Arabidopsis thaliana: one gene and its partner. The protein of the gene in region 1 interacts with the protein of each later gene in a biochemical or structural test. Each region holds a gene or a part of one and is shown in the gene's direction. Other genes may lie near its edges.

What was found.
Region 2: the proteins of AP3 (region 1) and SEU form a complex in vitro, tested with the Arabidopsis thaliana proteins (one study listed by BioGRID).

What each region holds. Positions count from the first base shown.
Region 1 is NC_003074.8:20,118,413-20,123,151, reverse strand, and holds AP3 (K-box region and MADS-box transcription factor family protein), read left to right. Parts: upstream 1-1,837; 5' UTR 1,838-2,064; coding exon 2,065-2,252; intron 2,253-2,353; coding exon 2,354-2,420; intron 2,421-2,503; coding exon 2,504-2,565; intron 2,566-2,649; coding exon 2,650-2,749; intron 2,750-2,921; coding exon 2,922-2,963; intron 2,964-3,239; coding exon 3,240-3,284; intron 3,285-3,529; coding exon 3,530-3,724; 3' UTR 3,725-4,012; downstream 4,013-4,739. Other genes in the region: emb1967 (Forkhead-associated (FHA) domain-containing protein), read left to right, coding at 106-254, 358-444, 567-695, 774-854; WRI1 (Integrase-type DNA-binding superfamily protein), read right to left, coding at 4,553-4,582, 4,685-4,739. UniProt on the Arabidopsis thaliana protein: Probable transcription factor involved in the genetic control of flower development. Is required for normal development of petals and stamens in the wild-type flower.
Region 2 is NC_003070.9:16,614,843-16,622,627, forward strand, and holds SEU (SEUSS transcriptional co-regulator), read left to right. Parts: upstream 1-2,145; 5' UTR 2,146-2,650; intron 2,651-2,769; 5' UTR 2,770-3,029; coding exon 3,030-3,995; intron 3,996-4,079; coding exon 4,080-4,199; intron 4,200-4,351; coding exon 4,352-4,400; intron 4,401-4,489; coding exon 4,490-4,704; intron 4,705-4,791; coding exon 4,792-4,860; intron 4,861-5,103; coding exon 5,104-5,201; intron 5,202-5,296; coding exon 5,297-5,390; intron 5,391-5,586; coding exon 5,587-5,656; intron 5,657-5,801; coding exon 5,802-6,754; 3' UTR 6,755-7,207; downstream 7,208-7,785. Other genes in the region: AT1G43860 (sequence-specific DNA binding transcription factor), read right to left, coding at 7,402-7,785. UniProt on the Arabidopsis thaliana protein: DNA-binding adapter subunit of the SEU-LUG transcriptional corepressor of the C class floral homeotic gene AGAMOUS during the early stages of floral meristem development.

The sequences.
Region 1 (4,739 bases):
TTACATGCTGCAGTGATGTGGGAAACCTTTTCTATGGGTAGCGTATGAGATGTTAGAAGAGGTTTAAGGCTTGTTTGTAAATCCCTAAAATGTTTTCACTTGCAGTCTCCAAGTATCAGAGCCAAGACATGAAAAGAACAATCATAAGACTTGAGCAGGCTGCTCATTCATATATGCAAAGAGCCATTGCTTCCCGTGGTGCATTCGCTGTTTTATATGGCAGATATTCAAAACACTATATCAAGAAGCCTGAGGTAATATTATCTTATTCGTTTAATATTCCTTGTATGATTTGATAAGCTTCTTAAGAATTATAGTAGCACTTGTTGATATCGGGGTTCTTTTTTCTTAACATAGGTTTTGGTGGGTAGATCAACAGAAGACCTCGCTGTGGACATTGATTTGGGAAGAGAAAAGCGGGGTAGCAAAATATCTCGACGACAGGTCGGTCAATAGTAGATACTTCTATTTGTATTTTAGGTCTTTAAGTTGTATGAGAAGCAGCAGCCCAGGATCTGTAATGGTTGTTGTGTATGTTTTTTTCCTTTTTGGGTTACTGAATGCAGGCGATCATACGGCTGGGTGATGACGGTTCGTTTCATATAAAAAACCTGGGGAAGTATTCAATCTCAGTAAATGAGAAGGAAGTAGATCCTGGACAGAGTTTAATCCTCAAATCCGATTGTCTAGTTGAGGTTTGATCCGGGATACTCTTTTATGATCATTACTTACGCTTCTAGGTCCGTACTTAAACCCGATATATGTGCGCGCAGATACGGGGAATGCCTTTTATATTTGAAACAAACCAAAGTTGCATGCAAGAGTACCTGAAGAGAAGAGGGAAAGTGAACTGAGACCAGATCAAGAGTGCGTGTTGTTTGTGTAGATGAATGATGCATCTCTTGTGTAATGTACCTTAGCCATAGGAACACGTCTTGTAGATCTTTTAATACATCTTTAGTTCCGCATCATGCATAGTTGACCCTGTTTTAAGGCGTTGAAATGAAAATACAAGTCTCTTGTATCTGAATTTGTGTTTTAAGCGAAGAATGATTGTTCTTGTGAAGTTGATACACAAGTTCTTTGGATATCCTATCAGTATAAAGGATAGGTTTCCATTTTCGTGACTCACTCACTGATTTCCATTGCTTGAAAATTGATGATGAACTAAGATCAATCCATGTTAGTTTCAAAACAACAGTAACTGTGGCCAACTTAGTTTTGAAACAACACTAACTGGTCGAAGCAAAAAGAAAAAAGAGTTTCATCATATATCTGATTTGATGGACTGTTTGGAGTTAGGACCAAACATTATCTACAAACAAAGACTTTTCTCCTAACTTGTGATTCCTTCTTAAACCCTAGGGGTAATATTCTATTTTCCAAGGATCTTTAGTTAAAGGCAAATCCGGGAAATTATTGTAATCATTTGGGGAAACATATAAAAGATTTGAGTTAGATGGAAGTGACGATTAATCCAAACATATATATCTCTTTCTTCTTATTTCCCAAATTAACAGACAAAAGTAGAATATTGGCTTTTAACACCAATATAAAAACTTGTTCACACCTAAACACTTTTGTTTACTTTAGGGTAAGTGTAAAAAGCCAACCAAATCCACCTGCACTGATTTGACGTTTACAAACGCCGTTAAGTTTGTCACCGTCTAAACAAAAACAAAGTAGAAGCTAACGGAGCTCCGTTAATAAATTGACGAAAAGCAAACCAAGTTTTTAGCTTTGGTCCCCCTCTTTTACCAAGTGACAATTGATTTAAGCAGTGTCTTGTAATTATACAACCATCGATGTCCGTTGATTTAAACAGTGTCTTGTAATTAAAAAAATCAGTTTACATAAATGGAAAATTTATCACTTAGTTTTCATCAACTTCTGAACTTACCTTTCATGGATTAGGCAATACTTTCCATTTTTAGTAACTCAAGTGGACCCTTTACTTCTTCAACTCCATCTCTCTCTTTCTATTTCACTTCTTTCTTCTCATTATATCTCTTGTCCTCTCCACCAAATCTCTTCAACAAAAAGATTAAACAAAGAGAGAAGAATATGGCGAGAGGGAAGATCCAGATCAAGAGGATAGAGAACCAGACAAACAGACAAGTGACGTATTCAAAGAGAAGAAATGGTTTATTCAAGAAAGCACATGAGCTCACGGTTTTGTGTGATGCTAGGGTTTCGATTATCATGTTCTCTAGCTCCAACAAGCTTCATGAGTATATCAGCCCTAACACCACGTACACCATCTCTCTAAACACCACTCTTAAATTAAGCTAATTGAGTTGCTTTGTTTTCTTATAATTAACCACTACTTTTTTGGTGATTTTGTTGGTTATAGAACGAAGGAGATCGTAGATCTGTACCAAACTATTTCTGATGTCGATGTTTGGGCCACTCAATATGAGGTTTTTTTCCTTCTTAGATCTTTCTTCTTCTTCTTGATATGTGTTTCGCTGGTTGGTTAAATTCTTGATGCGTTTTGCTGCAGCGAATGCAAGAAACCAAGAGGAAACTGTTGGAGACAAATAGAAATCTCCGGACTCAGATCAAGTATTTGTTTCTCTCTCTTCTCTTAGATGAGGAGTTTTACTAAAAAAAATGAGTACGAAAATATACATATTTTTAAAATTGTAGGCAGAGGCTAGGTGAGTGTTTGGACGAGCTTGACATTCAGGAGCTGCGTCGTCTTGAGGATGAAATGGAAAACACTTTCAAACTCGTTCGCGAGCGCAAGGTTCTCTTCATACTTTTCCCTTACCTAGGGTTTCAATTAATCCTATATACCCAAGCTTCAGTTTTGAATTGAATTATTAAAAAATGAATTTTATTGTTGTATATATGTTTTAGAAAAAGAAACATTTTGTTTACTGTTGGATAATATATGTTAATTGTATTGTACTGTACAGTTCAAATCTCTTGGGAATCAGATCGAGACCACCAAGAAAAAGGTCACATCTTCTATGTCCACTCACTTTTCCATTTTATCATATTTATTTGTCTCAACAATTTTGTGTCAATTGAATTTATCAACTTACTAAAACTGTTGATAACACTTTTCTTGGACAATTATATTTGTGTGTGTGTGTGTGTGTTTAAGCTAATGGATAAAGAAAATACCAAGTATACTATATAGTGATGTCATAATAACTTGGGTATATATCTTCATAATTTTTTTGGGAGGGAATATTTCTTCATCATTTCTCTTGTGGTTTACACAATTGCAGAACAAAAGTCAACAAGACATACAAAAGAATCTCATACATGAGCTGGTAATATCTCTTTCTGTTTTTCTCAAATGTTGGTTTAGGCATAATACATTCATGGAATACGGAGCCAGTTAAAAAGATATCTAGAAATGTAGTGTAGATTGATCAGTCACTCTTATGTTTTCTTGTGATTCTCTTATCGAAATATCTCCTAGTTAAATCATATATCAAATGTCATGTCATTTCGAATTAATAATATTGGTTTTAGTTATGTGGAATATGGCTTAAAACATGTTTTGGTGAATTAGGAACTAAGAGCTGAAGATCCTCACTATGGACTAGTAGACAATGGAGGAGATTACGACTCAGTTCTTGGATACCAAATCGAAGGGTCACGTGCTTACGCTCTTCGTTTCCACCAGAACCATCACCACTATTACCCCAACCATGGCCTTCATGCACCCTCTGCCTCTGACATCATTACCTTCCATCTTCTTGAATAATTAAAGGCTAAAAGGTTTGCTGGTGCCATCATTGTCTATCTAATTATTTAGTAACTACTTAAAACATAAGGCATGGTGTTGCTAAAACCTTAAACTGTCATGTTTCTTAGTTATGTATTTTAAAGCCTAAAGAAATATGGATTGTGTGATCAGTAGTGCTTAGGCTTATTGTGTGTGGAATGTTTTCAAGACTTTTATCATGTATCGTATTATTATATTGACCACTCTACTTAATTATGCTACAAATTTACTCGATTTGATTTTCTACTTGAATGCATATATATTGTCTGATGAAATACAAATTGAAGTTGTTTCCACAAAACGAATAGACTACCAATCATACTATTGATTTACAAAACTAAAAAGTAAAGACAAATTTTTATACAAGATGTATTCCGAGCCAAATGCAACAACTTTTCGGGTTGTTATGTGTAACCCGAAAACAAAGATATTCAAATATTCACCCTAATGAAGACGTTCACGGTTACCAATATTGATCACAAGTTTGGATGGTAAGGCTCTTTTACTAAACTATCTAGCAAACCAAAAATCATCGCAATCAGAATTATGAATTAAGAGTTAGGAATAAACTTTTGCCTATATAACCTTCCTAGAAACTTCATAGTCCGGTCAATAATAAGACAGGGGAACTTGAAGAGGTCTAGCCTTTGAAGCCTTCTCTTAGTTCAAGATTCCTTGAAGCTCTTCCTTATTGCACATATGCCAGAGAAATTCATAGACATCTTAGCCTCCTTTGTGTTTTACGGTTCATTTAGTTTTTATTTCTTATCTGAACTTGGAGCATTAGAAAAGGGGCAAAGACATTGATTATTCAGAACCAACGAACAAGCCCTGAAACTGAAATACAAACCCTAAGCAGAACCCAACAAAAGAAAAAAAAGAAGAAGAAGCGGAAGAAATAGAAATTCAAACTAGAAGGCAAAGCTCTCTCTCTCAGACCAAATAGTTACAAGAAACCGAGGTTGTTGTTGTTGTTGTTGATGAAGCAGAGTCA
Region 2 (7,785 bases), on another chromosome or scaffold:
AATTTATTATGCACATAAGCAACTATATACCCACTTTCTTTCATAATGAATTTTTACTTGTAATTTTAGGGTGCAAATTCTGCGTTTTTGCGTTTGTTAATGTAATTATGCAGATTTTTTCTTGATTGACAAACTTCTTGCATAATCGCATTAGAAAACACCGTTATGTCATTATGCGTGTTACCAATCAAAAAACACCTTAAGTAATAGTATCATAAGTGTTCGTAATACTGTAAGAATATGTGAGATTTTCTAGTTTAAGATTGGAAATATCTAAGTGTTGGGTGAAAATCACAAGAGGAATTATTGTATTAGATTGTGATAATAAGTGGAATTATTAATTTGCATTTGACATGATATATGGATATAAATTGTAAGACGACAGATTTTTTAAAAAGTTATTCTAATCAAACAAGTCACCTTCAATAACAATTGATTAGAACATACCGCGTCATATAGTAAAAAACCTTTAAATCATATGTTAACATTCTCTTCTTCTATAAAGTAACATCAAATAGTTACTACAATGAGATATACAACAATCAAGTATGGTATTTAGGGTTTAACGTAAGATTTGAGAGATATGATTTATGCAATGACATCCAAATTTGATAGATATTGAGAAGATATAGAAAAAGCCAATAAAATATTGATAGTGGCTAAAATATTTGATCATTTTCATATAATGATATTTGCATTGTTTAGCTTTAAACTTATACGTGGATAAGGTAATCTAAAGTGTGAGAAATAATAATTTGCTGATAAATATTTTGTAGAGATAATTTGAGTATAGTGTTTGATAGACCAGTTTAAGTCTACAATCTTCTTTCTGTAAATGAGTTGGAAACATATCAAAAAGACGAGTCAGATATACTCAACCATGTTTTAAGGTAGTAAAAATAAATAGATCAAAATATTCAACCATGTTTCCAATGGCAGGAGAAGTTCTTGCAATACCAATATCTTTGGCTATATATGAGTCTGTTTTTTTAACCATTAGTGATTGTAATTTAAATCAATATAAAAGCTATTTGGTTTGTGGTGTTGTTAAACCGGGTGAAGCACTCTCTCAACTCTTTATACATATTTTTTCTTTTTGTTGACTAATAAATTTAACATTTTAACACACAAAAAAATGCTTTTGACTTAAAATTGGTTACATGCATTATTAGGTTCAGAAAAAATGAGGTATTTAAGATTTATATTCAGCAATGGTTCATATATATGCTCTCATGTCTGATTTTTTCTTTTAAATATATTTATGTTAGAAAATGATCTGCAACACATCAGACTAAAAAACTGAATTATTTTTTTTATATATTTTCTAATATTAATAGAAAACGGTTTATTAAACAAATGAATATGCAAATACTCTAAACCGTGAGAATTCCTTGTGGAGTTTCATTTGTATATAATATTTATTTTCTTTGCTTTATAACTTTAAAATACCATCATGATTATTATAGTTCAGCTTCTATGTAATGAAACCATGTAGACAATAAAATAAAGAAAATAAGAAGCAGTTTTTATTATCTAAAAAGCGTAGACAAAAATAATTAAGAAAACTTGAACAAAAGAAAAAAGATAGAAAGTTGAGACGAAAAAGAATATATAAGGGGAATGGGAAAAAAAAATCATCTAAGCAAGGGATGAAGATCAAACTCGAGTTGTTTAATCTCATACATAAATCCGCTTTCAAATTAATTTTATGTTGTCGTTCCATAATTATATTTTTTCTTAAAAATAGTCTTGTTTTCCATTCTCTCTCTCAAACCAAATTTACACATTTAAATAAACTTTAAACAGAAAAACCACTATTAATGTAGTAATATATTAAATATTGATATATTTCTATATCAAATTTAAAACTAAAACCAAAAAAAGAAAGAAAAATTTCTATATCAAATTTAGAACTAAAAACAAATAAAAATAGTGTCATTTCCATTATGTTCTTTTAAACCAAACTTTACATTCTAAGAAAAAACACTATTGATGTGTATATTAAACTTTTGATATCTTTCTAAATCAAACTTTTCTTAAGGTATTTAAAAGTGATAGTATTCTGAATGGAAAAATAACAATTTAACACTAAAACCAATAAAATAAAGAGAAAAATGTTTGTGGCTAACAAAAAAAAAAAATCCAGATTGTGATTACAAAAAAAAAACATTTCTAGGGCATGTCATTGACTTCCTTTGAAGAAGAAGAAGAAGAGAGAGAGAGACTGAAAAAGAAAAAGTAAGAAAGGGAATGAAATAAATCCGATCGAATACAATTTTGACGTCCGCAAGGACACTATTCTCTCTCTTCTCATCTTCTTCTTTCTCTCTTCTCTCTCTCTCTCTACAGCGAAGAACAGGACACAAATTACTCTGTGAAGCTTAAAAAGGTATAATTTTTAATAAAACCCAGAAACTACAATTTCTAGGCGGCAGAGAAAATTTGTTTCTACTTCTTTTTGTTTCTCTTTGTCTTCTCGTCTCTTTATCCCCAAACCCATCAATAAAAAACCCTAAAAGACTTCAAATTTCTTCAAGATTTTGTTCATCGGAAGTTTTCAGATTTTTAGTTGTGTAAAGTCTCTTCCTTTTTGTTCGATTCTCTTTGTTTTGAGTCTTATCAGAGACTTATTCTTCAATTCCACCTCTGGGTAAGTTTCTATAGATTCTCACTAGTAATCTCTGTTTTTTTTCTCAATTAGGGTTTGATCAAAGTTTCGTTTTTTTCTTTCTGGGTTTGTTCTTAACATTATGCTTTTGTTTTGTTAAGGTGGTGAGAGTTGGAAATGGAGTAGATTTGCTTAATTTAGATCTGTAAGTAATCAACAGACAGTGTTGTTTGGTTCTAGAATGTTCGATACGGAATCTCATCACTCAGATTCATCTCTTTCCGTGGTGTTTACGACTCTGAAGCTTATCATTGCTCAGAAAGAATACGTCTTTGCTCCTACACAGAGCTGAGTTTTATAAAGTCGTCAGTTTTGTTTCTTGCTTTCTTTGTTGATTGTGGAGTTGTGAATTAGTAAGAGTATGGTACCATCAGAGCCGCCTAATCCTGTTGGGGGTGGTGAAAATGTTCCGCCTTCGATATTAGGAGGACAAGGAGGAGCTCCTCTTCCTTCTCAACCAGCATTTCCTTCACTTGTCTCTCCGCGTACTCAGTTTGGTAACAATATGAGTATGAGTATGCTTGGGAATGCTCCAAATATATCTTCTCTTCTCAATAATCAGTCTTTTGTAAATGGTATCCCTGGTTCTATGATTTCTATGGATACAAGTGGTGCTGAGTCTGACCCGATGTCTAACGTCGGGTTTAGTGGTTTGTCGTCTTTTAATGCGTCGAGTATGGTGTCTCCGCGCTCATCAGGTCAAGTTCAGGGTCAGCAGTTTTCGAATGTTTCGGCTAACCAGTTGTTGGCTGAGCAACAACGGAATAAGAAAATGGAGACGCAGAGTTTTCAACATGGTCAGCAGCAGTCAATGCAGCAGCAGTTTTCGACAGTGCGTGGTGGTGGATTAGCAGGTGTGGGACCTGTTAAGATGGAGCCTGGTCAGGTTTCGAATGATCAGCAGCATGGTCAAGTACAACAGCAGCAACAGAAAATGTTGAGAAACCTAGGGTCAGTTAAGTTGGAACCGCAGCAAATTCAGGCCATGAGAAATTTGGCCCAAGTGAAAATGGAACCTCAACATTCTGAGCAGTCATTGTTTCTCCAACAACAGCAGAGGCAACAACAGCAACAACAACAACAACAATTTCTTCAAATGCCGGGGCAATCTCCGCAGGCTCAAATGAACATATTTCAGCAGCAGAGACTTATGCAACTTCAACAACAGCAACTCTTGAAATCTATGCCTCAACAGCGTCCTCAATTACCACAGCAGTTCCAACAGCAGAATTTACCTCTAAGGCCACCTCTGAAACCAGTGTATGAACCTGGCATGGGTGCTCAGCGTCTTACACAGTATATGTACAGACAACAACATAGGCCTGAAGTAAAGCTTCTTACCATAAATTTAACTTCTTTCAGCCTATGGCTTTTCTTCATAATTGACATTTGTGCTTGCTATTAAATGCAGGACAATAATATCGAGTTCTGGAGAAAATTTGTAGCTGAGTACTTTGCTCCTAATGCCAAAAAGAGATGGTGCGTCTCTATGTATGGCAGTGGCAGGCAAACAACAGGCGTTTTCCCTCAGGTTGGTTTACTGCTCAATGAACTTATCTTGTTTGTAATACAATTGTAAAGGAGCTTGTCTTTTGCACCTGAGCCAGTTATTCTGGATAAATTACGTACTTGTTTCATGTTATACCTCTTTACATGAGTATTTTTATTCCACAAACATTGCAGGATGTGTGGCACTGTGAGATATGTAACCGAAAGCCTGGACGTGGTTTTGGTATGTTATTTAGATGATCAGTGCAGACAATTTCCTGTACATCTTATCAAATATTCCTTCCTTACTGCTTTGTCTCTTTCATTGTTTAGAGGCAACCGCCGAAGTCCTTCCGCGGCTGTTTAAGATTAAGTATGAGAGTGGGACGTTAGAAGAACTGTTATATGTAGATATGCCAAGGGAGTCCCAGAATTCATCTGGCCAAATTGTCCTGGAGTATGCAAAAGCAACACAAGAGAGTGTCTTTGAGCATCTTCGGGTTGTTCGTGATGGCCAACTTCGAATAGTCTTCTCGCCAGATCTTAAGGTTCTTCAAGCTACTCTATCTTTCGCAGCAAATTATTATACTATTACTTTCTCTCCAAGCCCTTTATTCTTGTAAGTTCCTTCTCAGATATTCTCCTGGGAATTTTGTGCTCGGCGGCATGAAGAGCTTATTCCACGAAGACTTTTGATACCGCAGGTAACTTCCAGAAAGATTCACCATATTGCTCTGACATATAGTTATTTTGGAGATGCGGCCTTTCCTTTTGTCACAAAATTGGATATGCTGTCTTAATATTATTCTAGTCTGCTTTTCTTTGCGAAATCGTCACTTTACCTTTCATCTTTTGTGGTTTCCAAATTTCAATAGGAGTAGAATATTACACATCTAAATCAGTGAAAACAGCTTAGGTAAATTAGCTATTTTTGTATTCACATACAGGTTAGTCAGCTTGGATCGGCAGCTCAGAAATATCAACAAGCTGCTCAAAATGCAACAACAGATTCTGCTCTTCCGGAGCTACAAAATAATTGCAATATGTAAACTTCCTCTCTTTCGCTGTGAAATTGATGTAACAAATCCTGTTATTCGACTTTTGATTGGTGATCTCTGATGTGCTGCAACTGGTCTGCAGGTTTGTTGCATCTGCTAGACAATTGGCAAAGGCCCTGGAAGTACCACTTGTGAATGATTTGGGATACACAAAGAGATATGTTCGGTGTTTGCAGGTAAATAACTAATGTCTCAATATGGATCAAGTGAACTCTACAATCTTGCTTAAAACTTAAGATTCTTGCCATCAATGAAAATGCAGCTTTGAAAAGGATAATACATAAAAATGAAATAAACTTAATCAATCTTTGTATTTAGTCTGTCCCTGTGACCATGTTTGCCAATGCACATTGATATTTTGCAATATTGTAGATCTCAGAGGTGGTAAATAGTATGAAGGACCTGATAGATTATAGCAGAGAAACACGAACAGGACCAATCGGTAAGTTTATGTGACCACCTTTTAATGCATTTGGTATTTTTAATCTTGAAGCACCTACTCTTTTCGTTCATGTATTATATCAGAACTTCATTGTACATATTCTCCGGTGATTTGACTGATGTCATGTTTTCTTTCTTTGGTACAGAGAGTTTAGCCAAGTTTCCTCGGAGAACAGGCCCTTCATCTGCACTGCCTGGTCCTTCTCCTCAGCAAGCCAGCGACCAGCTTAGGCAGCAGCAGCAACAACAACAGCAGCAGCAGCAACAGCAACAACAACAACAACAACAACAGCAGCAGCAGCAAACAGTTTCCCAGAATACAAACAGTGATCAAAGTAGTAGGCAAGTTGCACTAATGCAGGGTAATCCAAGCAATGGTGTAAATTATGCCTTTAATGCAGCCTCTGCATCCACTTCCACCAGCAGCATCGCAGGGCTCATCCACCAGAATTCAATGAAGGGAAGACATCAGAATGCTGCTTACAATCCTCCAAACAGCCCCTATGGAGGAAACTCTGTTCAGATGCAATCACCTAGTTCCTCGGGTACCATGGTGCCATCATCATCGCAGCAACAACACAACCTGCCAACATTTCAGTCTCCAACATCCTCATCTAATAACAATAATCCCTCTCAAAACGGGATACCATCTGTTAATCACATGGGTTCCACAAACTCACCAGCAATGCAACAGGCAGGTGAGGTTGATGGAAACGAGTCTAGCTCGGTGCAGAAGATACTGAATGAAATCCTGATGAACAACCAAGCTCATAATAATAGCTCAGGAGGAAGCATGGTTGGGCATGGGTCTTTCGGGAATGATGGGAAGGGTCAAGCTAATGTAAATAGTTCTGGTGTTTTACTGATGAATGGCCAAGTGAACAACAACAACAACACAAATATTGGAGGTGCTGGTGGGTTTGGTGGTGGGATTGGTCAATCCATGGCAGCAAACGGAATCAATAATATAAACGGTAACAATAGTCTCATGAACGGAAGAGTTGGGATGATGGTGCGGGATCCAAACGGTCAACAGGATTTAGGAAACCAACTTTTAGGAGCAGTGAATGGTTTCAACAATTTTGATTGGAACGCGTGAAATGAAGAAGAGGAAGAAGAGACACTGAAAGGGTAATGTTCTGCTTGCGCAGCATCACACATCTTCAAACTCAGGATAAGGATAGGCCAATAAGCCGTGATATTGTGCTTAAGAAAGGAAGAGTCAAATCTTTGTATCAATAACTGGTTTCTAGGTCACCTCCACAATCACCAATACCATCTCTTGAGTTACTGTTTCTTTTTTTACTTTGGGGAGTTTTTCTTATGCTTTATAGTTTATAATGTACATCTTTCTATCGGTGTGTGTTCCTTAGGGCACATCATCAGGGAGGCAATGAATCAAGCTCTATCCTTCATTTATCTCTCTGGTCTCTTCCATGTGTTAACCAAACTTCCCTAAATTCTGACCACAACGTTAAATATGTGCAATGCTCTTGAACGATGCTGATCGGTCATGATTTTTTGTTGTTAGTGCAATGAAATACCACAAGCCGTACGATGTCTATTGTTTGGTCACAGTTATTAATCAAATACCAAATATCCAAGCTTGTCTCTTAAACACAAGTTTTTACTCTTAAAGTTTGCGCAAAATTTCATTCCACAAGTTTTGTGTATTCATACTCACATATGACTACGAGATTTAACACATTGACAAAATTAAAAGCACAAAAGGAGAAAATTGTAGTTTCAGAAAGAGTAGTCTTTCAAATCTGCTCTAGAGTCGTCCATGTCAATCTCAGACATGCATTCGTCAGCACTAATAGGAGGGAGTTTCCGAGTCTTACGCTTAAGGTTGTGTTTGTGCCAATCACTCTTACAGTGCTCTCTGTATTGCTTAGCCTCTCCAACGAACGTGTTGCAAGTGCTGCACTTGGTCCCCTTCTTTTCTTCTCCACCTTCTTGCTTTATGTTATCTGTAGTACTTATCTCTTGCTTCTGCAGTTTCTTGCTAAGTTCAACGACGGGATCGGTCAAATCCTTAGTCTCAGTCTCAGCAGGTAACAACGGCTTGTGGGTTTGCAATGCCATATCATCATGCTCATCGTAATGATCCATGCTTGTGTCACCTTC